Caenorhabditis elegans: one gene and its partners. The protein of the gene in region 4 purifies or fractionates together with the protein of the main gene of each other region. This does not show direct contact. Each region holds a gene or a part of one and is shown on either strand. Other genes may lie near its edges. The genes, in order: F13B12.4, C25E10.8, mel-32 and rcat-1.

The links.
Region 1: the proteins of rcat-1 (region 4) and F13B12.4 fractionate together in Caenorhabditis elegans (co-fractionation; one large-scale study listed by BioGRID). This does not show direct contact.
Region 2: the proteins of rcat-1 (region 4) and C25E10.8 fractionate together in Caenorhabditis elegans (co-fractionation; one large-scale study listed by BioGRID). This does not show direct contact.
Region 3: the proteins of rcat-1 (region 4) and mel-32 fractionate together in Caenorhabditis elegans (co-fractionation; one large-scale study listed by BioGRID). This does not show direct contact.

What each region holds. Positions count from the first base shown.
Region 1 is NC_003282.8:10,441,808-10,450,225, forward strand, and holds F13B12.4 (Putative pyridoxal-phosphate dependent protein F13B12.4), read right to left. Parts: upstream 4,998-8,418; 5' UTR 4,996-4,997; coding exon 4,884-4,995; intron 4,828-4,883; coding exon 4,630-4,827; intron 4,462-4,629; coding exon 4,289-4,461; intron 3,987-4,288; coding exon 3,397-3,986; intron 3,199-3,396; coding exon 2,964-3,198; 3' UTR 2,778-2,963; downstream 1-2,777. Other genes in the region: F13B12.3 (Ion transport domain-containing protein), read left to right, coding at 51-293, 339-525, 827-903, 954-1,036, 1,106-1,177, 1,224-1,509, 1,785-1,907; F13B12.7 (Neprosin domain-containing protein), read left to right, coding at 2,287-2,346, 2,390-2,567, 2,611-2,777.
Region 2 is NC_003283.11:9,050,706-9,057,725, forward strand, and holds C25E10.8 (TIL domain-containing protein), read right to left. Parts: upstream 3,365-7,020; 5' UTR 3,228-3,364; coding exon 3,225-3,227; intron 3,176-3,224; coding exon 3,124-3,175; intron 3,061-3,123; coding exon 2,990-3,060; intron 2,945-2,989; coding exon 2,657-2,944; 3' UTR 2,557-2,656; downstream 1-2,556. Other genes in the region: spi-3 (TIL domain-containing protein), read right to left, coding at 158-307, 365-367; Serine protease inhibitor swm-1, read right to left, coding at 3,563-3,847, 3,898-3,968, 4,029-4,077, 4,125-4,127; C25E10.10 (TIL domain-containing protein), read right to left, coding at 4,771-4,886, 4,987-5,083, 5,129-5,214, 5,264-5,340, 5,383-5,455, 5,501-5,558, 5,611-5,613; C25E10.11 (INSulin related), read right to left, coding at 6,944-7,020.
Region 3 is NC_003281.10:6,438,045-6,447,024, forward strand, and holds mel-32 (Serine hydroxymethyltransferase), read right to left. Parts: upstream 4,772-8,980; coding exon 4,709-4,771; intron 3,824-4,708; coding exon 3,692-3,823; intron 3,647-3,691; coding exon 3,309-3,646; intron 3,261-3,308; coding exon 2,437-3,260; intron 2,385-2,436; coding exon 2,218-2,384; downstream 1-2,217. Other genes in the region: C05D11.1 (uncharacterized protein), read left to right, coding at 1-7, 54-741, 789-1,348, 1,395-1,552, 1,609-1,804; C05D11.13 (Vicilin-like seed storage protein At2g18540), read right to left, coding at 5,071-5,740, 5,779-5,927; let-721 (Electron transfer flavoprotein-ubiquinone oxidoreductase, mitochondrial), read right to left, coding at 6,833-6,999, 7,057-7,846, 7,974-8,575, 8,628-8,862. UniProt on the Caenorhabditis elegans protein: Interconversion of serine and glycine.
Region 4 is NC_003282.8:251,120-259,098, reverse strand, and holds rcat-1 (C2H2-type domain-containing protein), read left to right. Parts: upstream 1-3,669; 5' UTR 3,670-3,672; coding exon 3,673-3,927; intron 3,928-3,980; coding exon 3,981-4,210; intron 4,211-4,259; coding exon 4,260-4,470; intron 4,471-4,513; coding exon 4,514-4,684; intron 4,685-4,734; coding exon 4,735-4,955; intron 4,956-5,003; coding exon 5,004-5,205; intron 5,206-5,254; coding exon 5,255-5,404; 3' UTR 5,405-5,480; downstream 5,481-7,979. Other genes in the region: dpy-9 (Nematode cuticle collagen N-terminal domain-containing protein), read left to right, coding at 1-48, 93-393, 440-771, 1,435-1,596; R02D3.8 (Exonuclease domain-containing protein), read left to right, coding at 1,910-1,958, 2,013-2,114, 2,167-2,396, 2,441-2,613, 2,749-2,854, 2,902-3,042; grl-19 (Ground-like domain-containing protein), read left to right, coding at 6,565-6,713, 6,759-6,897, 6,944-7,129; aass-1 (Saccharopine dehydrogenase), read right to left, coding at 7,381-7,616, 7,725-7,979.

The DNA of each region.
Region 1 (8,418 bases), about 10 Mb from region 4:
GTAAGAATTGCGAATATTATATCATGAAGTCAGCATTAAGACACATTCAGGGTTTCTATAATTGGGCTGAACGAAATACAGCTGATCTTTACCGTAACTATTTGGTTGCAATGACAATGATAGCCTGGTCTGTAGCTGTAATTGCTCCTCCAACATGGCCTATTCGAGCTTTTGCAATCATTTCTGCCGACTTATTCTTTTATTTTTCTTTCGTTTTTGCAACTCTCCGACTCATGAAAATTGCAAATGTCGATGCATTTTTTGGTTCAATTGTCCTTATGATCAAGAAAATGGTAACATAAAACTGTCTGATTGACTTATCAAATATCAGATTACAGATTCCAATAATGGTCAAATTTATGTTTGTGTTTATGGTATTTTGGTTCACCTATGCAGTTTGTCATATCAGTTTGGCGGGGCATTTGAAGAGTACTCCAAATATAACCGATGTCGTTTGGCCTTGGCTGATTTTCAGTAGTGGTGCATTTGAAATTTTTGGAGAAGCTGATGAGGAGGATAAACTAGGTTAGTTTTCATTTTTGGAAGATTGAAGGAATATATTTTTTATGGATTTCAAAAATTGAAACGTTTAAAAATATAAGTCACATCACTATGTTCTGCGTTGGTTTCAATCAGCTCCAAAAAACGTCCAGGTTTGTCCTCCAGCGTACGTCCCTACAACCTCTGCATTTGCAGTTAGCAAATGAAAAAATGTTCACTTTTATTTTGAAAGTAGGCGCAATACAGGAATACCTCAAAGATTTGTAGTAACTTTTGAGTCTGTTGTATAATTGATAGCACGCTTCTAATCAAAAGTCTTATTTAGGGACTGTCAGTAAATGCTCGTCAGCACCTCTGAACTGGGACGTCATTACTGATTCTTCGGTACAATGCTGGTTCAAAGTACGCAATTTTCTTAAGATCCAAAACTTTCATGAAAATATAATTTCCAGACAAGTATGATACCTGTATTCTTATTCTGTTACATGTTGGTCTCAAGTGTACTCCTTGTGAATTTGGTTACCGCACTCTTATCGTATGTTATCAGGGCGTAATGGAAAACTCCAAGAATAGAAAACCCAATGATAAAAGTTGAAATTTCCAGGAAAAAGTATGAAGATATTGACAAAGTTTCACATATTTACTGGAAATATAAACTGTATAGTCGGTTGATTGAGTGAGTTCAACTGAGGAAGAAAAAAAGCAAGACACATTATTTCCAGGTATGAAGAAAAATTATGGATTCCTGCACCACTCTCGTTGCTCTTTTACATTCTCAAAACTTTTTGCTTTTTTCTATCAAAAATTCCAATCATTGGAGTTATACCCAATTACTTTATGAAAATTTTACACATTTTCGAAGGGAAAGTATATGCAAAAGAAAGGAGGAAAAATCGAAAATATGAAGCAGTAATGAATGGATTAATATCTAACCCGAATCGATGGGATGGTCCTACAGAAGATGAGAAAAAGTCAGTGGAATTAGTCAGAGAGCAAATGAGCATTTTGGTGAGTTTCCTGCAATATTTTTGTCTTTATTGGTTAACTGACACACGGTGAGCTATGTACACTCTAGTGTGAGACGTTCAATTTTAATTTTGATTATATCAGTAGATAGATAAATAAATTTTCGTAAAACTTCTATGGAAGAGCGGTTTTTGAAAGTTAATAGGGTTTTTGAGTAGGAGCCAATTCACCGAGCATTGGCTGAGCATCTAACTCGTGGGAACGTAGTTTTTAATTACCCTACTGTACCTAACATTTGAAATTTCTACAATTTTCAGGAAGCTGACCGTAAAAGGAAACGCCTCGAGACGGACCTCATTCGAACTAGATTTGAGGAGATTATGTCTGAAATTGAAAACACGAACCGGTTCAGAAGAATACGATCTCAAACAACGTTCTAGCAATTTCGCGTGGAATTTATTATTTTAAACGAAACATTCAAAACGTGGAATAATATTGCACAACTTGAAAGTTTATGGAACATTATTTCAAATAAAGATGTATATTAAAAACTATCTTTTCGTGTTGTGTTGTTTTAGTTTTCAAATAGAATATGTGGAATCGCTAAAAGTAAGTTTTGTAAGGTGATTGAAACTGGACACAAGGCGGGCGGGCGTTTTCATTGCTAAAACTTCAAAAAACAATTACAATTGTCGGCAGCATTTTTCATTGCAAATTATCTATTGTAAAACATTTTTGCATACTAATGTAATTTGCACTCAGATAGCAATCAAACTATTCGAGAAAGATCCGAATGAAGTTAACATATTGACTTCCTTAATGAGAACGGGAGATATTCCTAAATTTGTTTCCAAGACAACTAGAATGTACCGTATTCAAGTGAGTTAAAATTTTCGCCATGTAAGTAAAGTCCGCATTTCAGAACGAAGTTTGCAACAAAACTGAAATATTTCAATTTTCGATCGGAAATAAAGTTGTCAGCTGTCCTCTTTACGATGGGTTGGCTTTTCTTGACAATAATTCAACACATATTGTGCAATGTCCAACATATTGTGAAGTTTGCAAGAAAATGTTCATTTGTTCGAAAAGATCATTGACAGGTCAGTTTTTAGAACTTTGAAAAATCACAATTTCTGTTTTCAGGAATCATCTACACACCGGATGGTCGCAAAAAAGATTCAATTGATTTTCAATATGGTTTTCTTGATCAACCTGTTGTTCGCGGCGTCGACTGGTCAATTTTTGTTGTGTATATTTTCATATTTGCCTTATGTGCAAATATTATAACTTTTGCGTTTTCAGATAATTAAATAATAAATAGTTTATTCAATTAAACTTGAATACAGATCAAAGCAAGCACAAAACTCATGCACGGGAATAGACTTAATCACTGGAACTATGAGTTCTATTTTCGAAAAAAACAATCTAATTTAAAATTGATCAATTACGAACCTGTACAATACGGAGAGACACAAAAACACAGAAATGCAAAACAGTTAAACTTTAAAAGCTCCTGGACACATAGTGAGACCTTTCGAATAGAAATCAGAACCCGTATCAATTGATTCTTGAATCAGCTTTTTCCAACATTCCATTCCCATAACACCTCCAAACTTCTTGAAACTTTTCTCGACCCATTCGTTGTTAAGGTACGTACTACGGTAGAAATCTCCTGGGTCACAAGCCAGTGTAACAATCGTAAGACGATGCTTGATAGCAGATTTTCTGGCTCTGAAAATTGTGTTCATCAAGATTTGATAGCCAAGGTATACGCAAGGTATATTGATACGCTTGCGTAAACTAAACTATTAAAACATATTTTTTAACGCAAAAATTTAAATGTACTAGTAAACGCTTAAGTCGTCAAAAGACAACGAATAAATACTCTAGACGGATTAGTTTGCAATGATGTCAGTTTGAATTACTTACTTGTTCTGATAGGCTTTGTAAAGAGAAACAAGGAAGTTGAGTGATGTTGACGGTCCCACATTATAACCTTTTTCATCGAGAATTCTCATTGTAGCTACTGATGCAATATCAGGCATTTTCATGGCTTCATGGATTACATTTCTTGTTAAACTTGTTGTTTCTCCGTACCACACTGGTTCAATATCATATCCGTAACCAATTCCAGCAATCCCTGGAGGTGTCCAAATACCTGCACCAGATTGATTTGTGAATTTATGTCCAATTACATAATCGTAGAATAAAGAGTATTGAGAATCGGAGAGTACGACTTTTGTAGGTGCTCCATATCTAGCGACATATCTGCCAACTGACGAAATAGTTCCACCGGTTCCTGCTGAATGAACAAAGTAGTCAGGGATTTTGACAATTTGCTCTTTGTCCTTTTTGAGTTGAACAATAATTTCATGATAGACATTTGTGGACTCAAAATAAAAGTCTCCACTTTCATGGAATTCTTCAGCTTTTTCAGCGTTTCCAAATTGATTCATGTAGAATCCGTGGTTTTTGTCGGCGAATTCCTTAGCTTTTGCATTGCGAAGAGCCACAGGAACCTGAAACAAAGCAAAACTTACAATAATTTTTTTTATTTTTCTGCTTCTTTCTCGACATTTTCCAACTTTCTTAACAACGCTTCCCTCATCTTTAAAAATTTTAACGCGAAATTTCACACAATAAAAGTTGTTTCTCTATAAAGAAATTTTATAAGAAATTGGCGTTGAGTTGAATGAGAAAGTTTTGGGGTTAGAGTTCTTAAAAACTGGAAAAACTTTGGCTAACTCAAAAAATTGGTCAATATTAAATGAAAATTAAACCAAAAATACTGTATGTGACTCTGTGTAAGTAGAAGAAGTACCTTGATAATTTTTCCTCCGAAACTCTCAATTTGCTTGACTTTCTCCTTTTCCAAATTATCAGCAACGACAGCATAGTATGGGACATTGACTAAAGTACACATGTAGGCTTCAGCAGACCCAGTATTACCAGATGTTGAGTCGTAGACAGCGGATGTTTTTGAAGTCACTTTTCCTGGAAATTTTAAAATTTGCAGAAATTTTTTTTGAGAAATGTTATTTATTTAACGTTTCTGGACTAGCTTACTCATAGCTCTCATACTCATAGCTTAGCAGTAAAAAACCTGCAGAATATAAGTTTTCGCAGATACACTGTACTTCACCAATTAAATAACATACTAACCTTCTGTAATAGCCCAAAGAAGAAGAGCCCATGCAAATCTGTGCTTCAACGTTCTCGTAGCTGTGGCAGTTTCATTTTTGAAGAAAATGTCGGCGTTCGGGAAACCAGGGGGACTGAATTTTGTCATTGGTGTGTGTCCCATCTTTCGTCGTTCATTCCATAATTTTTGAATTGCTCCGAGCCTCCATTTTGCTTCATCTAAAAATATTTTATGTTTATTGAATTAAAAAGACCTTGAGAAAAAAAAAACTAACAATCAGGTACAGCATCCTCATTCGGAATTCGACTTTCAGAAATTTTTGTTATATCTTCTGCAAGGCAACTTGCGGATATGCTCAGAAACAGAGCCAGAAGAAGTAGTTTCATGGCTGAAAACGATGAATTAAATTTGTGATTGATGTATCAATTGGAATTTTCTTTTATAAGTCCGGGGTCACGCCCACAAGTACAGTAGGAAGATTGAAATTTCGAACGCAATGAAGAGCATGACCACGCCCACAAATTAATGAAAGAGCACAGTTTCCGGAGTCAAACAACTATTATAGTATACATGGTTCATGGAGTGTTTAGAAAGTGAACTTTATAAAAAACTTGAAATGAAAAGTAAACATTAAAAAAATAAGTGATGCGACTATTTATGAATCTAAGTTTTCTTTTTGCAAGAGTTCCGGTTTCAATGATAAGCTGATCAAAATTAAACTCATTTCTTATATGACTTGAAATGATACTCATTTTGAAATAGTGCTTCAAAACAAAAAATAATACCTGGACAATACAAAATTCTCTAATTTTTGAAATGTAGAAATTAAATTTTTCTTAAACTCTGCTAAATGTCATAGGAAGCTTTCTATTCAAAAAATTGCGCGTAAAAGGATATTTTCTAAAATAATATATAGTAAATTTAAGGTTGGTAAAAAGAACTGAAAGATAACTTTTTCATGAGACTGTCTGTCCGCGTGCAAGGCGATATATGCCTGCCCCGTGCCTACTGCCAAAATACACGATAATCCATTTTTAAGTTTCAGTCGAAATTTAAACGCTAGAGAGTTTCAAAACCTTCTCGGCAATTCGGCACCACTTTTATACAAACTTTCCGCACTTTTAATATATATAAGGCTCGAACATTTTTATTATATTGAATTTCCCATAATTGTTTAGAAATAAATCCGCCAGTCCCAAAATTGTTGCATAAATTTGGATATGAAGGTTATTTGCAAAACGATAAAAATCTTTGAAGACACTGAATAAACGAATAACACCCAGATTTGGATCTTCCTGTGGAGATTTGAAAGTTCCCCAGAAAACCTAAAAAACAAAAATATAAAATCATGGTTACAGTAGCCTGAGCTACCCTCCAAGTGTTCTTTTCCTTGCAACTAATGCTTTTAAAGCACAATAAAGATTCGTTCGTTAATTTCTTTGTTTTACGTATTTTGTTCAGTCCAAGTAAACCAAGAATCGGAGCTGATCACTGATGTCTGGTTGTCTCTAGATCAGTTTCTTGCCATTTTTCTAAAAATGTCAAGTCAAAAAAATTTTGATTTGAATTTAGATTCCGGAAACCGGAAGCAGTTTATACTAAGATGATTTGATTTAATTAAAACTACTACATACACTACGGCTTCTCAAATTTTGTTTCAAATCGCATCATCTTCTGAAATGATATCATTTTGAAGCGGTATACAAATTAAAATGAAGCATGTAGGTCAAATGATGTCATATCTTTCTTGCACCTTTGTCTTAATTCATTTTAAACTCATAGAAATTATTGAAGAGATTAGTCTGGAAAAGTATGATGTGTTACTGCTTTCAAACAAAAGATTTGCCAATTGTAAGAGAACAAGGAAATAAACAAAAAAGAACAATTTCAGTACGTCAAGAGGTTTAAATGTTGCAAATTAATTAATTTGATTGCAGAAAAACATCTGTTCGTTTTCAATCTAGAGTAAAGGTTTTAAATTTTGACTACATTACTTTCTAGAAATTTAAGAGTTTTTAAAAATTTAACTCAATTTTGTTCAGATTTTTCACCCGAAAATTACAATTTGTCGAAAACTATTTATACAAACACTCACAAAATGAGTTTAATTTATTATTTTTAAAAAGTGAAAATTTGTATATCCAAAAAAGGAAATCCATAAGTTGCTGAAAAAAGACAACTGCTGGGTTTTTGGCAAAATGCATCTCCCGAACTATGCGGACAAATATTTTTTGCCGCACATCTCTGGTTTGAACATTGAAAAAGCTCCAAAATTGCTATAGCCTCGAAAGAAACCAACCAAAAAAAACTTTGATTGAAATTTTTAAAAAATCTAAACTGTTTCATTATGATATTCGGTCATTTTTAATTTTTGTAAATGAACATATTTAGGAAAATTATTCACTGTTTCACATTTAAATTAAAAATAATTTACCATTACGTTTAAGTTATGGGACGCTTTGAAGATGTACAATCATATTTGTATCTACCGAGAAAGCTATCTGCGAAAAAAACGGAACTGTTCATTTAGCTCTGCCCTTAAAGAAACTTGCATCGATTAATAGATTTATATCTTGTTTCAAACAACCTTCAAACATTTTTAAGCCACTTTTGCTAATACTCATTTGTCTTTAAGTTTAAAATAAACCATGATGCGCGGGCGTTTTTTCAATTATTAAGAAGAGTGATGTCAGTTGAAGTTGATTTTTTAGGGCCTGGAACAAAAAAAATCAATTTTGAAAACTAGTGATGCGCATATCTATATATTTTTAACAATGTATGCATTTAATGTTTAATTCCTGTGAAAAAAATTGAACAAAAAAGGTACCAAAAATATTCATGCAATCTATTAATTCCAAAAATCTAATTTAGGAGCCGGTTGTTTGTCTATAACTTTCTCTCACCCAACTTTACGTGCCAAGCTTATTTATTTCGAGATTAGCAAAAATTTTATCAAACTTGAACCAAACTTAGACGCAGCTATCAAATCTTGCACCAGTTTTGACCAAGGTTCACTAACTGTTCAAATTGTAATTGCGGACTAGAAATTTGTCACATTCATCTAAATCGGTTCCACCAAATCTCGATGAATGCTCTGAAATGTGACCTTTAGATTTGATCGAATCATTTTTTTGCAGCATGATGCTCATTACCAAAAAATGTGGTGCCTAAAGTTCCATCACACTTTTCCAGATTTTTGCTTCTTATCGGAAATTTAAATTAAATCAAGAAACGCGCGCATTTCCTACTGTAGATAGATTAAGAATTGACATCATTTTGCTTCTTTTTTTTTTTTTGAAATCGAAAATAGGTTTCACCGAGCACTTTTAATCCTAATCTTACGAAAAATTTTGGGTTCAAAGGATAGTCATGGAAACTAGACAAACATAAAAGTGGGAGGAAGATTAAGAAAAACAATAGATTTGTACCTGATGTGCCAAATAATTATGATTAGGATAAAAGAAGAGGATGGAAACTACTAATAATTGTATGAAAAGAGAATGGATATAGATGAGAAGAACGGGTTTAAGCTTATGAAGAGATATCTGAAGAAGATAAATTGAATAAAACGGTGTGAACCCTTGATCTTATCGCTTTCAATAAATACTAGGTTGATATTAAATTAGAAAATTGGAAGGTATTAAAGTTGAGAAATCAAAAATCTATAGTCGATTTGATCTTTAAAAAAGTAAAATATTTTCGGAAAAATAAATAAGAAAATCTAATAATTTTGAAAGAACTATTTAATTAATTTTCTTACTATTAGTTTTCCCAAAATACCATGCCTGCTTCATTCTTACTATTTTTAA
Region 2 (7,020 bases), on a different chromosome or scaffold from region 4:
ATATAAAAGCAAAATTTTTATAATATCTATAATAGTGTCTATCTGAAAAAAGGAACGGCAAAACAGTTTTATTCCTAACCTTTGACAGTAATACCTCAAATGAAAAAAAGCAGAACCAAAACGTTCCTGCTATTTTAGAATTGAAAAGATAACTTACTGGATCAAATCCGCATTGTGGTTCACAATCATAACCACAAGCCACTCGTTTTTGGTTTTTCCCACATTCTGGTAAAAACGGGGCTCCTGGTGTGATCCATTGTGTGGCTGATCCCATGCTTAAGTAAAAGCTGAGAAATAAGAAAGTCTTCTGAAAAGTAATACTCGGATGAATAACACATGCTTTAACTATGTAATGCAGGCTTACCATTGTTATTTGCAGATTTTCCGTGTTGGACAATGAACAGACTGAAAAGTGAACGACGGAGAACTCTGAGCGAATATTTGGGCGGTCTCAAGTAGTTACCGGAAGAGTGAAAAAGACGTTCTTTAATATATAATTATAAATGGAAATCAGCCAGAAATGAAATGATAATGACAAGGTTTTCATTTGAAACGAGAGGGAAAAGATATTCAAGAATTGGAAATTTAGAATGAGTTTCAGCCACATCTCATAACTTCACACATTCATTATGTTTGTTTGAAAAGTCACAAAGTTATAATGAAAATGAACATTTATTTATTAAGACACCAATACTGGCTAAAGAAGAAACTAAATTCTATTTCCCTTTTGCCAAAGGTATTTTTGAAAACACTGAATTTGATTCTAAGAACAGAAGTACTGTAAAGAAATGATAAAAGGTATGGCTTAGAATAAAATTGCATTATCTGAATACTGAATATGTGATGTTAAGCTTTCAGTACAGAACAACTTTTTTTATTGAAAAAAATGTAAAAATAACTTTATTGATAAAACCGTTTCCAAAACTGAGCTTATATACCAGTCAAACGGGAAAACTTTAGTTTAAAAAATACCTAGAAACTAGACAGGTGAATTGCGTTCAAAAATCATATATGATCTGCTAAATGTCAGCATAAAATGGATTCCTTGAAAAGTAATTTAGTAAAATCGTACCGGAATTCAGTGAAAAGTGATACAAGTTCGGAAGACAAAACGGGTCTCAATAATTTAGATGTGCAAAAAGCTTATTGACGTAAATTTTATGTATAATTATGGAAAGTACGTAATACTTTTTTGGTAACGCAGAATATCGAATAAATCTGCTCATGAAATTTTCTAACTTCGAAGTAAGTGCATTCTTAAAATCAAAGTTTTGATTCGATTTTTTTGGCAGAAAGGTATAACTCAAAAGTCCCGAAACAAAAAATATACATTTTGTTAACGGGCTTAAACAGACGCAGTTATTTAACTTCATAGTTCAATTCAAAAATGACGGCGGTCTCGAAAAAAAATTTGAGCCTCTCACTTTTTTGCATCATCGAAAATCTATTTCCTTTTGCGCATCGGTAGGTGTGAAATTTGAAGCGTCATTGAAAAGGTCAAGTTAAACGTTTTTTTGGCATTTCAAATAGTATAGACCTAAACGTATATATTATATTTGAATTCGTTTCATTTTTGAAGTAATATTGTAGTGAACTATAATATTGAGACATTCAGTTACGCACTATGTTTTGTCATACTTATTTCTTAGTATATGCATTTGATACAAAATACAAACTCGGAGGTTCAAAATTGTAGACTCGAGCATTGTCAGATGTGTATTTCAATAATTAACGTGTTTATAAATAATGAGCGAAATACTATGACGGCATGAAAACGTCATGTGTTTAAATAGAAAAACTAACAAAGGCGTCGAAAGTCAAAAGTTTCAAAAATATAAAGTAAAGGGAAAAATTAATTTCCTATAACTTTTGCCAAATTTTTTCTGGGACAAATGATATTGTGCAGAAATTGGCAGAACCTTTCTGACGCGTACCTATTGGTATTTATGAATGTGATTATTTTTATGTTTACGAGGTAGAAAACAATTGCAAATGCTCACGTAAAATAGCGTAGTCTTTCATTTTCCAGAATGTGCCTGGAAAAAACGCTGCTGTAAAAGAATCGTGATTTTTGAATTAAAAAGTTTTAAGCGTCTACGACATTTTCTAACCTAGACATTACAAAAGAATGATTGATCTTTTTTTGAATAATTTCCTTGCTTAAGTTTCTTATTTGTTTTTTGTGTGTATGTTCCTATATTAAGAAACCAAGTAGGGGATGAGCTCAGCTCTGCCACACGGTTAAATTTTTTAACGCATTTTTTAACGAATTTTTTTTCCAAAAAAATATATGATGCCAACATTTAAACTGTCTGTTTTTGTCGCTTTTGGAATGTTTATGAAACAACAATTGCCAATCCTAAAAAAAGTTTTGTGTGTAGCATCGAACCTATAAGACCAAATGAAATTCAATACTCTAGTGAGGTAATCTGTACCCAAAAACGAAAACTTTGTGTACTCCGATCGGACACAGTTTTCCATCGGAATGATATCACGATCACGGCATTGTTTGTGTTTTGTTCCAAAAAAGAAATATAAATTCGTTTCCATTTTTCCAGTTCATGGTAACCGAATGTTATTCTATTTGGCAATTTGTTGGTTTTTCTCAGAATATGAAATTCAACGATTTATTATCACAAATGTGAATACAAAATGTTCACTTTGGGCACTCCTTGAGTTCGGTGCATCTGTAACCGTTTCGGACAAAACCACTGGAACACTGGCAAACATTTACAATGCATTGTCTGGTACATGGTCTTGGTCCTGGTTTTTCACAAGTTGGCTCACAAGCGGTTCCGCATCGGAAGAATGTCTCATTTTCCGGACATTTGCTAGTTTCCTTGGTACAGGTGGAAATATCGACACATTTTCCAAGTGAATTACGCACAAATCCTTTCTTGCAGTCGCATGCGTTTTCAATACATTGAGCAGATAGACACACTTTCTGAAAATTAAATATTATAGGAGAACATGGAAAATTATAGATTACTGGAGTGTATCCGCATTGTGTCTCACAGTGATCATGGCATGCAACCATTTCCTCGTTGGCTCCACATGTCTCTGAAAAGTAAAATGTTTATTTTCCAGAAATATTTAACAATAATCATTTAAAAATAAACTTACTATTGGCAGCTGTCGCAGCAGCAATAAAACAGGCAATTATGACAAAAGTTCTCTAAAAACTCATTAGTTTTTGCATTGCTCTAATGAAAAAAAGAACGAACCATCACAGAAAGAAAAGTAATGCAGCAGTCTGATGTTTTCTTTTGAAATGACTCTATTTATTGTTCGAGAACACTAAATCACGCAGAGGACTCTAGTCTATCAAAACCGCCCTTTTGTTTGCCAGAGACATAGACATTGAAAAAAAACGATGACCAATAAATCCAAAAGATCAAACAGAGTTTTTTTTAGTTTTTCATGCCAGGAAAAATAATACTGATGTAACAATTGTGTTATCAATAATAGCACACAACTCCAGTTTCCTTCATCACACTTCTTTTTGAATTTTTTCCAATATTTGATGGTTTATTGAACTTGGAAATGTTTACTCAAAAACAAATTATTTTGGACAATCTTTCTTATCAATGCATCTGAGTCCATGACGAACGAAACCTTTGGAGCATTGGCAGACATTGACGATACATTGTTTAGTGCAAACTGTTGGATTTGGTTTCTCACAAGTTGCTTCACAAGCTGTTCCACAGCCAAAGAATGTCTCATTTTCTGGGCATTTTGTAGTTTCCTTGGTGCATTCAGATACTTCGACGCATTTTCCAAGAGAATTACGAACAAATCCGTCTTTACAGTCACATGTGTTCATGATACATTGCTCCGTGCAAGCTTTCTAAATTTTGAAACTTTCAGTAATGGGAGACACATTAAGTTAATTGTTACAGGGGTATATCCACATTGTGGTTCACATGTATTATGGCACGATACCAGCTCCTCATTGGCTTCACATGTTTCTAAAAAAATATTTATGATCTGGTAACCGTTCAAGTACCAAATCACATATATTTACTTACTTGTGGCGGTAGCAACAGCAACGATGCATGTGATTATGACAAGTATCCTCTGTAAGTGTATAATTTTTATATTAGAAAAAAAACTCAAAAACTCACCATTTTCACAATAACGAAGGGCAACCAACCGATGTTTTGCTTTTTAACGGCTCTATTTATTGTGCCGGAACACTAAAAAACGGCAGAACCGCCCTTTTTTTCGGAAGGGATGATACGAGAAACATGATAAGATCGAATGGGAGATATTATAGGTCTTCTCAATCTTTTGGAGAGAAATTTATCTTTCACCGGTCACGTATTTATTTTGTAAATTGGGCTCACAACAAAGGTTTAAAAATCTCGAAGAATTTGTATTCGAAAATTCAGAAAAAATCAGAAACACATTAAATCGAGAACCTTACGAAATTTCATTCCGACCAATGATTTTAATGAATCAATTCACTAGAAGATATCAATTTAAAACGTATCGCTTGGTGCAAATAGTTTTGGCTTGGCTCACTGGAGAGTATTTCGAATGTGTTTCATCCATAATTACCAACTTAACATTGTTTGGTTAACACTGACTTTTTGTATTCATTGTATTGCAACACGGAATAGTTCATAAGTTTTTTGGCTATTGAAAAGGAATACAAATATTATGTTAAAATTCGAATATTGTTATTTTTAAATTTTCTGAAAACATTAGCATGAAAACATCAATATTAAAATATGAGAAAAACAACTTTTTTTTTAATCATCGAAAATATTATTCAGTGGTATGTTGTGCAACACATACGTCCACAATTTGGCATGGTTTCTCCTCACAAGTCAGCTCCACAAGTTCACATTTTTCGTTCTCAGAGCATTCAAGAGTGCATTTGCCTGAATGAAAAATTTATGACTAGTATTATGTGCAGGTTTTCAGCGAATAATCACTGATGGTTAAATTGGTTAAAGTCTAGTAATAAATTTTGAAGCTTACTGCATTTATTTTTCTCCACACATTTTCCAGTTGCCGAGTCTCTGACGAGTCCTTTCTTACACTGGCAGACGTTTGTCATACACACCAAATCACATTCCTGAGAAACAATTTATGATCATACATAATCTCAACGTTGATTTACTGGATTCTCGTTATCACATGTCGGTTCACACGCTGAGCCACACGCCTTGAGCTCTTCATCGCCCTCACATTCCGGTTTGCGGATTGCTGGAAGTTTCCAAGAACCACTGGATATTTTTGGTTTCACTACACTTACGGATTGGCACGCACTTTGGATCAACTGAACAATCGTCTTCAGAACCACATTCCAAGTCACTGACTGGCAGTTCGCATCTGAAAAAATATTTTAAAATTTATAATTGGAAATATTAAAACCTATAATTATCAGGACATTTGATAGAACCACAGAGTGCGTCTGTGTGAGAAATGGGCATGTTTTCTGTGTTTTCTGAAAATAAGTCATTTGATTTTTAAATAAAACCTTGGTACTCACTAAGAACTCCAGATCTAGCAAAAGCAAGAAGAGCAAAGAAAATAAATAATTGAAAATTCTGAAAAAACACACTTTCATTTGTTGTAAGATATGAAGAAAAAACCACTCACCATTTTGATGAAAGAATTTCTGAAGAAACTTTCGGAGTGGGGAAGTTATGAGAAGGAAGCAATCATTGAAATAAAATTGACAGGCGTGAGACCGAGGATGAGTCAAAAGATTAATGACTTGGTGAGACCGGAGAGAGTTCAGCCGACCGGAATATTTCTTGAGTGCTGTTTTTTTAAGTTTAAAAATATGTTATTTACAAAATTACTTTCTACGAAAGTACGCCTGAGAAGAACAAAGAAGTAACTGTTTTCGGTTTTTGCTTGAATAGACTCAAAATGCGCCCTAGGCAAAATTTTGGTAATGAGAAATCTCAAAAATTATGCAATTTTTTTGAGAAGTCTTATTATGAAAGTTGCCCATTTGAGTATTTTTATTATATACAAGCAAAAACTCAAGACTGTTGGAACAGAAGATTAACTGCTGGGATGGGCTTTGAATATATTCAAAATAGCTCCAAAAGCCAGAAACTTCATAAAAATAACTCGCAAAAATACTCAAAAACTGTGTACAGCCGTTCAAAAATTTTTAACGTTGTTTCCAAATTGTGAAAAAAATAGTAAAAGAAACAAACAATAAATATTTTGTCAGCTAACAATCTTTGTTTAGAACAAACGACAATTGAGATACGCTGATCAGCTGCCAAAGTCGAACAATAGGTGTGATTCTAATAGATAAAACACGGTACTTTCCAGTTCCAATAATTCCAATACCCCTAAATCTAATTCATTTATGAGAAGTCTCCTATTGAAAATTGATAATTTTAAACACGTTTATGTGGTTAGTTTGCTCTCAAAACAGTTTGCTCCGTCGAAAATTTTTTAAAAGAAGCTTTCAGATAATAACTTTTTGATTATTCAAGTACAAGTTTTGGCAAGTCTACAAACTTCTTGACAATTCCCTCAAGCTTATATATAAAAACTTTGGCATTGTTTGTTAGAAATCGTTTGGTTATTCTGACATTTGAAAATTGATTTATTACACTGTATGAAATTCACAAAATTCCATCACAGTGTCGATTTTTTTAGCAAAATACAATTTGAATGATCTCTTGGATTGCTTCCTTCTGGACATGCAAAAATCTTGCAAGCGGGGCCAACAGGACATGGCTTGTTAATACATGGAATAGGCACAGGAATACATATGGATTGACCGTAACATGTTACAAAGTCACATGCATCTGGTAGTTGTGAATGTGAATATTTAGCCAGAAATATAAAATAACAGAACAGAAAAAGTAACTTCATTTCTATAAACTGAAGTGAATGAAAACAATCAAAAAGGAAAACATGGGAAAATGCATTGCGTGACTACGAAAAATAAAAGGAAATGTGCCTAACGAGAAGAAGTATAATTGAATTTTCTGTCTTGATAGTCCTCGAAAGATTTATCCGAGCAAATTGCCATCAACG
Region 3 (8,980 bases), on a different chromosome or scaffold from region 4:
TGATAAGGTAATAATGGAAAATAGAAACCGGAAAAATAATAAAATAATTTCAGATCGCTGAAGAAGAAGAGAAGAGAATAGCAGCCCAATGTGAGAAGCTCGGCAAAAAAGGACTCGAAGAAGCGGGAAAGAGTCTGGAAGCTGCCATTCTTGAGAACACTGCCAATCATCCAAGTGCTGAACTTTTGGATCAATTGATCGTCAAAGATCTTGAAGCTTTTGATCGTTTCCCAGTTCAATCCCTGACTTCAAACTCACCTTCTCTTACTCCTCAACAATCAACTTTCTTAGCTCAATTCCCATTCCACGCGAATCTTCACAACTGTCCAACTAAATTCGTGGAAATCTTCTTCCTGCTAGATTCTTCAAATCTGTCAATTGAAGATCGTAGTTACTTGTTCCTCTACACAGATTTGCTTTTTGAATCTCCTGCCATGATCGATGGAGTCTTGACATCTGCTGATGATGTTGCCAAACATTTCACGAAAGATCTCATTGATCACTCTATTCAAGTGGGAGTCTCCGGTCTTTATGATCGATTTGTGAATCTTCGTATCAAAGTTGGAGCTGACAAGTATCCATTGCTTGCGAAATGGGCTCAAATTTTCACTCAGGGAGTCGTCTTCGATCCTTCAAGAATTCATCAATGTGCTCAAAAGTTGGCTGGAGAAGCTCGTGATCGGAAGAGAGATGGATGTACTGTGGCATCAACTGCAGTAGCTTCAATGGTTTATGGAAAGAGTATGTTATTTCTATACTAAAAATTTAAGTGCATTCATATTTTACAGATACCAATTGCATTCTCTTCGATGAACTTGTGTTGGAGAAGCTTCATGAAAAAATATCGAAGGATGTGATGAAGAATCCCGAAGCAGTCCTTGAAAAGCTTGAACAAGTTCGTAGTGCTCTTTTCTCAAACGGAGTGAATGCTCATTTTGTTGCTGACGTTGATTCAATTGATCCGAAAATGTTGAGTTCCGATCTTTGGACCTGGGTACAAGCTGATCCAAGATTCGGACCTGGACATCAATTCTCAGCTGAAGCTGGTGAAAACGTATCACTTGAGCTCGGAAAGGAACTTCTCATCGGAGTTGGTGGATCCGAGTCTTCATTCATCTATCAAACAAGCTTCCTTGATGCTAACTGGAATTCAGAGGAGTTGATTCCAGCAATGATCTTTGGACAATATCTCTCTCAGTGTGAAGGTCCATTGTGGCGTGCAATTCGTGGAGATGGACTTGCCTATGGAGCTAACGTATTTGTGAAACCCGATCGGAAGCAAATCACTTTGAGTCTCTACAGATGCGCTCAGCCAGCAGTGGCTTATGAGAGAACCAGAGATATTATTGTAAGTAGAAAAAAATAAGTTTCGTTAAAATAACTTTAAATTTCAGCGCAAAATCGTCGAGAGCGGTGAAATCTCCAAAGCAGAATTTGAGGGAGCAAAGAGATCAACTGTGTTCGAGATGATGAAGCGTGAAGGAACTGTGAGTGGAGCTGCAAAGATCAGCATTCTCAATAATTTCCGTCAAACTCCCCATCCATTCAATATGTGAGTTTACTGAAAACATTCTAAGACTAGGAAAGTATCAACTTCCGCGATTTCAGTGATCTGTGTCGCCGTATCTGGAATCTGACATCGGAAGAGATGGTTAAGATCGGCGGACCACCACTGGCTCGTCTTTTCGATGAGAAGTGCTTTGTCCGTTCAATTGCTGTTCATCCATCAAAACTCAATGAGATGAAGAAGGCATTCCCAGGAAGTAGCAAGATCAAGATTTCGGACTTGCAGTTTGCATGCTAGTTTGCCTGTTCTTTTATATTCTTATTATTCTTCCATCATTTCCCCGTTTGTTGGCTCTGGTTTTATTTATTTCTTTCGGTAGCTTGTTTTGTTAAATAAAGTTCTGGTCTGATTTGAATTAAACACAAATGGAAAAAAGTCGGTGAACGTTGCATTAAACAGCTACCCCAAACATCACTGTGAGAGAACTGTAGAAGGGTCCAGATGTGTGCGGCATTCAGAAAATTCAGCATACGGCTTATGCCAAATGCCGTAGATAATCTCAATTGCTTTCTAAATATAAAAAAACAATTAAATTTGAAAAGATCAATATTTATTTCTCCTGTTTAAAATTCAAACATGAAAGTGATAAAATGGCGGGAATGTTTTTATAAATACAAATGCAATGTTGATAATGACGATGATGATTAAAATTAGAAAGTTTCGTTTCCTGGAATCTCGAACTTCGTGGAGAACTCCTCAACACGTTTGGCGAGATCAGCGACGTCTTTCTTGAATGGTTCATTGGTCTCAGTGAATGATTTGAAGTCTTTCAATGTCTTTCCAGCCTCAGCATTGTACTTCTTTGCGATTTGAACACCTGAAATCAATATTTTAGATTAATGTTGAAGATTACAGTTGAAAAAACATACCCTCATGAATGAAATCTCCGACTTTCTCGAAATCTTGCTCCTGGAATCCACGGGAGGTGAGAGCTGGAGTTCCGAGACGAATGCCTCCTGGTCTCAAAGCAGAAACGTCTCCTGGGCACGTATTCTTGTTGCAAGCAATATGAGCGAGATCAAGCACATGCTCAGCACGAGCTCCTTCAACTCCGATTGGGCGCAAGTCAACAAGCAACAAATGATTGTCGGTTCCTCCGGTTGCCAAAGCATATCCATGCTTCTTCATTCTCTCGGCCAAGGTTTTGGCATTCTTCAACACTTGCTCTCCGTACTGAACAAAATCTTCAGAAAGGCATTGTCTCAAAGCAACGGCAATTCCAGCAATAGTGTGATTGTGTGGTCCACCTTGAAGTCCTGGGAACACGGCCGAGTTGATCTTCTCCTCCAAATCATACAAAGTGTCAACTCCCTTTGCGTTGGTAGATCGGACACCCTTTCTGTAGAAGATCAAAGCTCCACGTGGTCCTCTGAGCGACTTGTGCGTCGTTGTGGTTACAACATCAGAATACTCGAATGGTGATGGGATAAGTCCAGCGGCAACAAGTCCGGAGATGTGAGCCATATCAGACATCAAATAGGCTCCAGCCTTTGTGGCAATCTTACGGAAACGTTCATAATCGAGATGACGAGCGTAGCAGGAAACTCCGGCAATGATGGCTTTTGGACGGAAAAGCATTGCATTCTGCTCAAGCTTGTCATAGTCGATCAATCCAGTTGTTGGATCAACCTTGTATGGAAGAGACTGGAAGAATTCAGAAGTCGCAGAGACTTTGCGAGCTGGGGTGAAGAATCTGAAATTAAATGTATAATTCATTCGAGTCTAATCTAGATAACCTTACCCATGAGTCAAATGACCTCCATCTGGAAGATCGAGGCCCATAATGCGTCCATTGGATCCAACGATGGCAGTGTAGACTGCGAAATTGGCTGGTGATCCGGACAATGGCTGCACATTGACTCCCCACTTGGCTGGATCAAGTCCGAATACCTCAAGAGCTCTCTTCTGGCAAAGGAGCTCCATCTGATCGATGAACTCATTTCCTCCGTAATACCGAGCTCCAGGGTATCCTTCACTGTATTTGTTGCACATTGCCGAGCCAAGAGCATCCATAACAGCCTTGCTTGTGAAGTTCTCGGAAGCGATGAGCTCAAGTCCACGACGCTGCCGCTTCTTCTCCTGAAAAAAACAAATGACTAAGATTTGAGAAACATTAAGTCTTACATTTTTCATGATATCGAAAACTTCTGGATCAACTTTCTCAACATGGTCCACCAAAATGTTCTCGTTGTTGGTGTACTTGTGGCGCTGAACTTTAGCCAATGGTGTGTGCACTTGACGATCAGCCATTTTACACTGTAAAACCAAATTAAATTAAGCAAAGAAGCGAAAAAATCGGGAACATATTCAACACAAAAGCTGACGCGTTGGCAACACGTATATGCATGGGAAAGTGTGGAGAAAATAAGAATAAAACTGGATTCGCGGTAGGCTATGATGATATCTGAACCGGGAAGTTTTCGAGATTGGGCGCATCCCGGATCGTAGATCAAAACTGATAAGTCAAAAGTTACTCATTAGAAATTGTAATTAAAGAGGTATTCGAGCGTGGTTTTAACAAGTGTACACTAACTTAGTAATAAAAACAAAAAAGTGGTCTCTAATAACAAAAATATAATGCAGATAACTTTCAAATGCAAACACAAAACATTGCTACAGAAAACTATGCAAAGAAACCATTTAAAACAAGTGCAAACGATACTGCAGCGTGTACATGTGTTATTCAGAACTGCAAAAAGAAACAACGGAGCAAGACATTTTCACAGCTTATGGTAAAAATATACGCGGAGAAAATAGAGAACTACGATTATCAATGCAACATCACAGAGATGATCATTAAAAATAAAAATAAAGAAGTGAATAGAGTTTATCAGTTACCAAGTTGTTATCAAAGCAACAAAAGCGGCGCCTGTGGGTCAATGTCAACGATATTTCTATTGCTGGACAAGTCGGAGACAAGCCCGAGATAACTGAGTGAAAGGCGGAAAATGGCAAGATATTATGATGAAGATCACTTTCTGATCAGAAACAACGAGTGAACCATGGACGGTGCCGTTTTGGGAATGAAAATGGGGAGAGAAAAGCAAATTGCAACTTTGAGCGGGCAAAATTTTTACAAATTCAAATATTCGCGCCATGCGTATTTTACAACTGATCCCACGCGAAAGTGCACACACAAACCTGGGAGCTGGCTCCGGCAAATAATCCAGTTGCTGCTCTTCTGCTCACTATCCTTGCAAACATTTTGTGCCTGAAAATATTAAAATAACAAATAAAATTCTAGAACTTCAGAATAAATGTGTTAAAACAGAAATCGACTATCGATCAGACCACTGATCGTTATCAGTCTTATCAGTTTCTCTGTTTTGTTGCAAACAAGAGATGAAACTTGCCGTTTTTATTGCGATTCAACAGAATTTAAAGACTGATAGGTGGAAATGAGCGGACCGTTGATTCAAAAAATTAATACGATTTTATCGGTTTTAAAAGCAAAAGGTCAAACAACAAACTACTTATTTATTAAAAAAATTTTCAATTAATTTTTATAGACCCGAAAGAGTTCCATCGCTCAATGATCCCGTGATGACTGCAAGTGATTCTTCACTTTGCCCTGCTTGCTTCAAAATTCGATTTTGACGTTTTCGTGCAGCATCTTGGATTTTCCTAGCTGATTTTTGCTCTGAAGTCTCCGTCTGCAAATATTGCCGTCTTCTTGCTGCATCACGCTGTCGCCGATTTTCAGCTTCCTCTGGTGTTTCATTCTTAATAGCATCCCGACGTCTCTGAGCATTCTTGGCTCTACGCAATTCAGCTTCTTCTGGAGTTTCAGCCAGGAGACTCTTCCTTCTCCGTTCCGCATCCTTATTCCTTCTTTCCTGAGCTTTTTCGAATGACTCCCTTTGCAGATACTGGCGTCGATGCTCTGCAGCCTTTATTCTTCGATTATTTGCCTGATCTTCCGACTCTTGCATTCTTTCCATTTTTTTTCTTTCAGCTTGCCTTTTCAATCGTTCTCTATATTCTTCTTCTGTCTCTTCTGAGCATCTCTTCCTTTTATAGTCTGCAGCCTTGGCAAGACGTGTGTGAGTCTCCTCTGATGTTTCACGAGCTCTTCTCAGACGTTTCCGATGTGCTTCTTTGGAGAGTCTGCATTCTCTAGATCCTTCTTGAGGTTCGGATGAACTTGGAATATCCGTAATATGAGGTCTGAAACTTAAAAAAAATTTTAATATGCTATTTACTACTCTTACTCATCACTTGAACCAGGTAAAAATGTTGCTATAAAATTCTGAATTGTTTCTTCTAGGCCAGCATTTTGTGGACTTTCAGATTTATTCCCATTACTCTTCTCATCTTCTTCTTCGTCTTCGACAATATTTTTGCAATCTTTTCTACTCATTCTGAACTTACAAATATACATTAATTTTTCAGAAAACTTGAAAATCTACATTACTAAATACACAGACAGAGGTTTTGCGACTCCTGCGCCAAGAATACGGTGCCGATTCTCGACACGACATGTTTTAGTTAAATGAGAAAAACTTGTGCGCCTTCAAGGAGTACTGTAATTTTTTAATCTAGTTGGTGTGGAACCGTTCATGATTTTTCATACTTTTCTTACGTTCTGTTAAAATTCGTGTTTTTTTTTGAGTTTTCAATAGTTAAGGATGTTTTTCATCGGAATACGATGGAAAATCGATGAACATTCCGCAACTACAAAAGTTTGTAATTAAAGTACTCTCCAAAGGTGTGCACCGTTTTGAAATTATCACATTAAAAAAAATATCATGTCGAGACTGGGTACCGTTTTTGGCGCAAAAATCTCAAAATTACGCGTCGGAGTAATAAGAAAAATATAAATAAGGCTCAAAGAAAACAGGAGAATCGATGACGGCTTTCTGTGTGTCTGTGTGTCTTCATATCTTCATTGTCGGTGTTTCTGTGTGTATGTCTGTCCAGAGACAAACATACACGAGCGCAGACGTCTTGTTTGATTATCTGCGTCTCTTCTTCTATACAACACTTTGCAATCTTTTCAGAAAAGGATACTGTAGTGGGATGAATGTATATATGTACCACAATTATGGCAATATTGAAGCTTTTCCGTTCAAGTACACACTAATCAGAAATCTATTCATTTGGTTTGGATAAAAATGTAATGGCATTACAAAAGATGGGGAACACGAAAATGAGAGAAAATTGAGAGAAACCGTTGAAGAACAGAAATACATAATCTACGAGTCGATAGTGGCGAATAAATAAGTACAAAAATTATACACAAACATAAACGAGAAGCTAAAGGATTCACATTCCCTCGTATTTTGGGCCACCACCTCCTTCTGGTGTAACCCAGTTAATGTTTTGTTGAGGATCCTTGATGTCGCATGTCTTGCAGTGAATGCAATTTTGAGCATTGATTTGGAGACGCTTCTTTGATTCATCAGCTTCGGATGGGACGAATTCATAGACTCCTGGAAAAAAAAGTTATTTATGTGTTTTTAAAAGTCAAATTTGTATTAAAATCTCACCAGCTGGACAGAATCTAGCCTCCGGGCCACCATATACTGCCAAATTCACATCAAGTGGAACTTGATCATTTTTCAATGTCAAATGAGCAGGTTGATCTTCTGTATGGTTGGTTCCAGTAAGAGATACAGATGTAAGAAGATCAAAAGTTAGCTTTCCATCTGGTTTTGGGTAATCGATTTCTTTTGCATCCTTCACTGGAATGAGCTTCTCATTATCCTTCTTTCCGTGTCCAAGAGTCCATGGTTCAATTCCTCGACCGAAAACATAGAATATTCCAGAATAGATCAGTCCTCCAATGTATCCCAATGAAGTATTGAATGATGGACGAATATTTCTGGTTGCTTTGAGCTCTTTAACAACATAAGTATCACGAATATTCTTGTCATATGTAGCTGGATCAATCGTTTGCACATCCTCTCCCTTTTGTTGAATATCCTCGAAAATTGATTCAGCAGCCACCATTCCACTTTTCATTGCATTATGAGTTCCCTTCAGTTTAGCGACATTCAAGAAACCAGCTGAGCATCCAACAAGACATCCTCCGGGGAAATGAAGCTTCGGGATACTTTGGAATCCTCCTTCATTGAGAGCTCGTGCTCCGTACCCAATTCGTTTTCCTCCTTCCAATTGTTTAGAAATCGATGGATGAGTTTTGTATTTTTGGAATTCTTTGTATGGATTGAGATTTGGATTCGCGTAATCAAGAGCAACAACGAAACCAACGGAAACAAGTGGTTGTCCTTGATCCTCGATATGGTACAAGAAGGATCCTCCGTATTGATCAACATTCTGAAAAATCATTTTTTAGAGATTAAATTCTAGAATATATCTTTTAATCTGAAACACTCAAAAAAAAAGCTCACATTTTACTAGATTTTTCAATTTTTCTTAATTTTTTAGATCTTCAGAAACTTACCAATGGCCATCCCATAGTATGCTCAACATAACCAGGTCTATGCTTTGCTGGATCAATTTCCCAAAGTTCTTTGAGTCCAATTCCATAAGTCATTGCATGTGTTCTCAAATCAAATTTATCGAGAACTTGCTTGCTCAAATGTCCTCTACATCCTTCAGCGAAAATTGTGCATTTCGCGTGGAATTCCATACCACGAGCAAATCCATCTTTCGGTGCTCCATCCTTTCCAATTCCAACGTCACTTGTGGCAATTCCCTTCACACTTCCATCTTCATTGTAGAGCACTTCAGATGCAGCGATTTCTGGCCAAACTTCGACTCCAGCTGCTTCAGCCTGCTCGCCGAGCCATTGAACGACCTTTCCAAGACGAACAATATAGTTTCCGTGATTTGCAAGTGGAACTCCAGGTAGCACTGGAACTGGAATTCGACCAGATTCAGTGAGAATAGCGATAGATTCAGAGGTAACTTGTTGGTAAACTGGAGCTCCCAGCTCTTTCCAATTTGGAATAAGTTCATCAAGAGCTCGAGTTTCAATTACAGCTCCTGAGAGAGTGTGCCCTCCAATAACAGATGCCTTTTCGACAACACAGACACGAAGTTCTGAAATTAAAAAAAATATGTTTACTCTAAAATGTATTTGTTTAGATTTTACCTTTCTGAGCTTTTTCAGCCAATTGTCTCAATCGAATGGCTGCTGATAAACCAGATGGACCTCCTCCAACAATGACAACATCATAAACATCACTTTCTCGTGCCAAATCAACATCCTTCCACCGTGGATCAGTGGATCGATCCTTTACAGTATAGTGAGTAGTCGTCCATTGTCCGTTGACGACGTTGCGAAGTTGTGATGAGACGCGGAATAATGTGACTCCACTTATCCGCATTCTGAAGTCACAGAAATTGAGAAATGAGAAAGAAATCGATAATTGAAGAAATAATTGTTGCATTTTAATTTTAAAAAATTACGTGAATTTTCAATGAAAAATGTATTTGCTTTTTTCG
Region 4 (7,979 bases):
GTTCAGAAAGTAACAACTCTGATGTTAACAGAGGTAGAGTTGTGTAAGGTGAGAATATTGATGCTTTGCCAGGAATAAGCCTAGATATTAAGACCGAGTCTCAAGACATCTGGAAACAAATGAAATTCTCTCGCATGGCACCAAACCGTACCAAACGTCAGTCTCCATACGGTAACTATGGAGCTTCAGGGTCAGGATCCTGCTGTGCTTGTACTCAAGGATCACCTGGACCACGTGGACAGCCAGGAGACGACGGAGAACCTGGACGTGACGGTTTCCCGGGCAGAGAAGGTGACAATGGTATAGCTGGAAAGTATCTACCAGCTCCACCACCAGGAACCAACGCATGTCAGAAATGTCCAACTGGAGCTCCAGGACCACCAGGACTTCCAGGTAAATTTGAATTGCATCAGGAAATAAATTTAAAAATTTGATTCAGGACCAAAAGGACCACGTGGACCAGCAGGAATTGAGGGTAAACCAGGGAGACTCGGTGAAGACAATCGTCCAGGACCCCCAGGACCGCCAGGAGTACGTGGAGAACCTGGATCACCGGGAGAGAAGGGACCAACCGGCGATCGTGGAAAAGTATTGAATGGAGCACCACCAGGTCCTACTGGCCCACCTGGAAAGGTCGGTCCACGTGGATTGTCTGGCGGAAAAGGACACGATGGTAAACCAGGACTTGGTGGGCAACCAGGTGTCCGAGGAGCCGTTGGAGCACGTGGAGATGCTGGAAACCCAGGACTTCCAGGACCACAAGGACCAAAGGTATGTTTCCGATATATTTTCGAACATTTTGAAATTAGTCATGACTTATATATGAAAGAATATAGCACGTATGTCTCCTTTGTAGTTTGTAGTCTGGATTTTGAAAAATGTTGTGTCTTTGCCTTTTGAAGGGATATTGGTTTGGAGTTAGTAGAAGGATATGGTCACGGTACCGTAGTAGTACTGTAGGGATACTGTAGGAGTACTGCAGGATTACTGTGGTTTGGGAAAATTCAATTTTCGTCTTTTGAAAGGATATTGGTTTGGAGTTAGGAAGGGGATAAAGTCAGGGTACTGTAAGATTACTGTAGGTGTACCGTAGAGTTATTCGGCAGGAATTTAAATGTTCTTAGAAAACGGCAATTCAAATTTAGTGAGAAAAATTTTGGCGAGAATTCACTATTTCTGAGAAAAAAAATTTTGGCGGGAAGTTCAATTTTTCTAGAATAACTGGAAGCTCCTAGAAATTCTAAAAAAATCTGGAGACTTCAATTACTTTTTTTTTAAGTCCTAGAATATTCTATTAAAAATCAAAACTCATATAACTTTCTTAAAAAATCTGGAAGCTTCTAGAACTTTTGAAACATTTGAAAACTTTTAGATTTAGTATTAATACATTTGTTATTGAACCAATCATGTGTTTAACGGAAACAATAATTTCAGGGAGAACCAGGAAATCCAGGAACGTGTCATCACTGCCAAAACAGAGCACCAGCACCTTCCGAGGCACCAGGAAAAGCTCCACCTCCTCCACAAGACTATACCCGTCCAGCACCAGAGTCGTATCCATCGGCTCCAAATGGGCAATATCTTTGGATCCATTAAATATTTTGCATAATTTTTGACTCATTGTTTCTCTTTTCGTCTTATTTTTCGCCGAATGATTCGAATGTGAGACTTGAAATATCATAAATCTTGTCAGGCAGCTGTGCCGAAAAAATTGTTTTTTAATCTACGAAAATATCGAAATTGTTTCCCGTAAATCGACAAGGGGCTGAGGTTTCTAGACCACACGGCCGTGTACTCCTCTCGGACAATGGATTAATTTTATCTGCTATAATTTTATTTTTCGATTTTCACACGTTTTCCAGTCAAATTTCGTAATATTTCATAATTTTTTATCATTTAAGACTCGAAAATGTCGATAAACTTCACGAGGACACCAAGATTATTACTTGACACAGTAGGTAATTCCATTTTTCTAGTTTTTTTCGAATTTAAATAATTAAAGTTAATTTCAGCCCATTACTCATCATTCTTGGAAAGCACAAAGCTTGTAAAGACTCGGGAAGTGAAGAAACCACCCAGATATCCAAACTTTTCACTGAAAAAAGATACGAAAAGTGGGGAGATTGCTTACTTTTTGGCAAAATAACTTTATTTTAATCTTTTCAGATCAAAAAATGAGCCAGCACTTTGATTATCTTCTAGTATTAGACTTCGAAGCCACGTGTCAAGATAACTGGAAAGGGCCGATGCATCCAGTCCAAGAAATCATCGAATTCCCAGTGGTCCAGCTCTCGACGGCTGATTGGAGTGAAATTCGTCGTTTTCATCAATACGTTAAGCCGACGGAATGTCCAAGGCTCACATCTTTCTGCACATCTTTAACAGGAATTATTCAGGTTTTTAATGCAAAAATTTCGAGGAAAAAATGCTAAAATTCCAGGAAATGGTTGACGAAAAACCGACGCTTCCACAAGTTTTATCGGAATTTGATAGCTGGCTGAAAGAGGATTCTCGACTGGAAAAGGGCAAATTTGCATTCGTCACTTGTGGAGATTGGGATCTGAAAGTCGCGCTGCCGAATGAGGCGAAATTTAAGAATATTGGAATTCCAGAGTAAATTTTTTAGAGTAAAACTGACAATTTGAGGCTGAAAATTCGTACAATTTGACTCTAAAAATCTGAAATTTCATTAAAAAACAATCATTTTTGTCCCACGAACCGCACAAATCCAAACAAATTGTCCTTCAGGTACTTCAATCAATGGATCAACGTGAAAAAGGCTTCTGCGGAGCACACAAATCATTTCGCGAAAGGAATAGCCCAGCTTCTGGCCATCTACAAGCTGCAACATCAGGTTTTCTACTGAAATTCTGAAATCTCAGCAAAATTCTAATTTTCCAGGGTCGCCACCACAGTGGAATTGATGACGTGGCAAATATCTGCGAAATTGTCCGGTGTTTGGGCATGAACGGGCACAACTATCAAATCACAGGCTCCAAAGACACAATGACGCGGAGGGTGTTCAGAGATGCGAGGAAATAATTTTTGTCGATTTTTCAGCAATATGTATTAATACGAAATATTGACTTTTCCGCCATTTTTCCGTTCAGAACAATAAATCTTTGCAAAAAATATAGCGAGAATATCGAATTGCAAGTACAGTTTCACGTATACGTTTCTAGAAATTAGATTTTTTTGGAAGTTTTAATCTGTCAATTCTCTCCGCCATGAGGAAGTCTACACACTGAAGAAGTTTCGCCACTTTCTTCCCTTTTAAATTGATTTTTTAACCGCTTGAAAATATTCATAAAAAGTTTTCTCTCTCGGTCCAATCTGAAAAAAAATTGCAACTTCAGTTGTATTTAATAAAGCTTTATAAGACACAAAAAATATTATTTCAAACATCGCGCTTAAAGTTCTCTGCAATGGAGCGGACTTGCAGACACGCAACGCGAACACGCGACGCGTCGAAGTGACAGGATTTACGAGCGTAAATCCTACCAATCGTTTTAATTTTCTATTTTCCTCTGATTTTTGTCAATTTTCCATAAACTTTTAGAATTTAACGCAAAAAAATTCACAAAAGTGAATGCCAATTTTTCTGGAACTGATAATCCTTGAAAACACGTATTTTTCACTTCCGGATATAGAAATGTTTGAAAATTGCAGGAAATGACCACAAATCCTATCGAACTCGAGTCCTGCATTATTGATCAGATACGATGCCCAGAATGCGCCCTAACATGTCTACAAAAGAATATCTATCGTCACATGACACAGATTCATAATTGGACAACTGAAGATTGTCAGGAACTGATTGCCGCTATAAAATCTGAAAAAAAGAGCCGAGCATCTAGCACATCGTTTGTTTGCTGCCACTGTAGGATGATATTTCGAAGTGTCAAGCATCTGGTTCAGCATAAAAAGGTAATACAACCCTATTCTTCTGGAAAACTAAATATAAAAATTGGATCTTGCAGATGTGCACTGAACAACCGCAACATGACAACGAGCATCTTGATGTTTATATAGATGAAATGATTGTTGAAGGAGAAGAAGAAGTTGTTGGAATCAATGAATATGATATCAATGAAACTAAAGAATCTACACAAAAACCATCCACATCATCTGGAGATAGTTTCGAGATGAATATTCCGCCACATCGACAAGCTTCTCGTCCAATCCAGCCACATCATTTAACGCAGGAATGGTTGGAATTAGAAAAAATAAAGGTTTCTGTCAAAAACTATGATTTTCAGCCAAATTGCCACCATTATTGAAAAACCTTCAAAATTCTCGTTAATGCAACTACCAGGAAAATATCGTGGATGTAATTTAAAATGTCCCGAATGTTCGAGTACATCAGAGTCGTTGGATGAATTTTTACTGCATTGCCGTCAAGAACACATGTCCCATGATCAGAAGTTTAATTTAGAACGAGAGTTTTTCCAATCAAGAGACCAGTTTAAGGTTTTTAAATATTCTCGATAAAATGACAAAAATCTAATTTTAGGAATGGTTCGATCAGAGACAGGAGGACACATGTACATCGTTGACAAAACGTACAGGACATGCTGGAGAAACACTTTATAGGTGTCATCGTGTCGGAAAGTATCAAAGTGTCGCAAAATCCAGGAAATCGAATCCCAGGAAGATTGACCAGACTTGTACAGCATATTTGAAAGTAAAACATTTTTTAAAAAATTTGTTTTAAAATTTTGAAAAATATTTCAGGTCACAACAGAAGAGGACGGTTCAACTTGGGCAACTGGATGCTTTACTCATATCGGACATGATCTTGATCACAAACTTCTATGGCTCACCGAATCTCAGGAAAAATATGTTCGTGAGCTAATTGACTTGGGATGGACTTCTGATCAGATCTTCTTCTTTATTCGGAATGAGTACAAGGACTACGAGTGTAAATTAAAATATATCTCAAAGAATGATATTAGGTGAGGGTAATCATCCGAAACAGTAGGCAAATATAATGTTTTTTGCAGAAATATCACAGTTCGGTACAATAGAGAACGGGAGAAGCTTGGTTTTTTAACGGACACTGCAAAATCTTCTGCGATTCCGATTAGTTTGAAAGAGCGGCGAGCCGTTGCTGCAGATAGTACGAAAGAACCGAGAGAAGAAGATGATGATGAGGTTAAGGCGAAAATTCCAAGGATGCAAAGCAAACCTGATAACATTGAAAAGGTTTACAGACGGTTAAATTGTTCTGAAAACTCAAAAATTGAATTTTCAGGCAACTACTTCAGAAAATAATTCTGCAAAACATCGCGAACAAGTTGTGGATTCAGAAACTGCGGAAGAAGATGAATATATCAACGTAGTTGATGTGGATACGATGCCACCAAACGATGCTGGAAAAATCACAATTGGCTTAAATTTTTAGTCGATTTAATACATTTTTGCGATATTAAATATGTTGTTCTTGTTATTTATTCATATCATGAAAGTTTATTAGATAATTCAAATCGAAAAAGAGTTATATCTCAAATGCCTGACAATAAACGCTGTATGCTGATGGCTGAAAAAAATTTGGGCAAAAATAAAAAGTTGTCTGGTTTTGTTGAAAACGGGTAATTCATGTATGCTGAATTCAGAAAATCTAGGTTTAACACATCAAAAACTATTCAAAAGTGGCAAAAATGCACAATTTTGAAACTCCTCTAAAATGGGCAATTTTGTAGTTAGAGGACTCAAAATTGATCTCCCAATACTAAAAAGTTTCCCTTTTTCAAATTCTAATGGTTCTGTACAATTTCAAAAAAAAAAATTTCTTGCCCAAAAAAAGGGCAGTCATATATTATTTGAATATTGTCCAAATTTGTTGAAAACGGGTAATTCATTTATGCAGCGTTCAGAAAATCTAGGTTAAACCTATCAAAACCATTAAAAACTGGCAAAAATTGGGCAATTTATTGTAAAAAATCACTCTATTGAAACTCCTCTAACCGGCGGCAGCCGATGTCGAAAAATACAAAACACCTGTCGAAAAATGTAGAAAAATATATTTTGTATTTTTCAATATCACATGAATAACCCCATTACTTTTTATGTAACTGATATGTCATGTTAGCAGACCTGTAGCATTGTATAATCGGATATTTTAAAAGGTTGACATTACATTTTGCTCCTTACAAAATATGGAATAAAATATGTGTTGTTAGCATAATTTTGAATGTTCAAATCTGATTTTATAAGCGCAAACTACTGTCCGCATGATTATGGGTCACACTGTATCTGGAAAATGTGCAAATATTATAAAACAATTGTTAATTTATCTTAAAAATATGCGGTTATAATGCGTGTGTGTTACTCGATGTGAACCAGTATCCAGTATCTTAACATGGAATAATCGCAAGTGTCAATTGACGGCTTATGCCAGTTTTATCGTATGTTCCTTTTTCCACAAATCTTTATCTTGTAGCAAATTGTGATAAGAAACTATTAGGCGATCAAGTAACTCAAACAAGAAAAACGAGTATAACACCAGGCTATGAGACATATATAATCTTTTTGAATCCAGCAATAGAACATCAAAAGTACCCAATGTTTCTCAAGTTACTTTTATTTTTATCTATATGCCACGTTGCATTCGCATTTTTCTTTCCAAGAGTCACACCTAATGATGGATGTGGTTGTGGATGTGGAGGAGGTGGAGGTGGAGGAGGTTGTTGTGCACCACCACCACCACCGCCGTAAGTTTCAATATATTAAATTAAACTTAAGTACAAGATTTTCAGAGTGTGTGGCGGTTGTGGCTGCGGAGGCCGTAAAAAGAGAGAAATCGGACATGTCAAAGGACACTTGGCACATAGAGATAATGATCAGGAATGGAATAATCAATGCAACAGCTTAGAGTTTTCGGATGTAATAGTAAAGGTAGTTTTGAAACATAAACAGTTAATTGCAACTACCACTTTTTCAGCATCTCCGAACGAAATCATTGTCGACATCTCGAGATTTCATTTACAAAGAACTTGACACAGCATTCCCAGACTCAATGTTCACTGTATTTTGTCTCCAAAACTCTACTGTTTCATATCAAGCAGATGCGAAGAGATACTGTATGGAGAAGACAGCTGACAGGAGTTGTTACGTTTTTGAATTTTAATTCAGTTGATTCATATGCCCCAATAATAATGTATATTCTAATATATGAAGTCAAAAATTTTATTCGGTCGACTTGATGGAAGCACCCGCGATGGGGTTTGGTGAAAAGTGAATATATTCACTTTTCATATATGAGAGAGGAAATATTCGATAAAACATTAAAAAAACGGGTGAAACTAGTCAGTACTCAGTACTATACTACAAAAATTGAAATAAATCGAAATAACATGGTAATAGAATATGGATAACAAGCTACATTGGGGTAATTGTGTGTGTTGGCACAATTCCAAAGTCACGAAGACGCTTCAATGCTGGACGGTAGACTTCCTTCAGAATTGGTCGTTGAATTCCTGCTCTTTGAATTTCATTGTTTAGAACCATGTGTGAGACGATGGCAGTTGTGTAACCAACAGTACGAGCCATAGCGGAGAAACCATTTGGATTGCCGTATTGAACCAAACTGATACGATGACGTTCAGAGTTTCCACCTGAAAAAAGATTCAATAGGATACACGAAAAAAAAATTTAATTTTGATTTAATGAAAAATTAATTAATGCGTATTAATCCTGACAAGTTTTCGAAATATATGTCTCACCTGGCAACTGAGCACCAATATCATGATTCAACACAACCAAATCCGATTCATGATCCTTGAAAGCAAGAATCTTTGCCAAATACTGAGCAAGAGTATCGATCGGAGTTCCGTGACGATCTACAACCTTGTCAGAGAACAAGCCAAGATTTTCAAGCGCAGATAAGCCCTTTCCACCAACTTTCTCCTCAATAATGTGTCTCAAAGAGTCTGGGAAGATATCGAGCTTCTGGTTACTCAATGAGGCAATCAATTCTT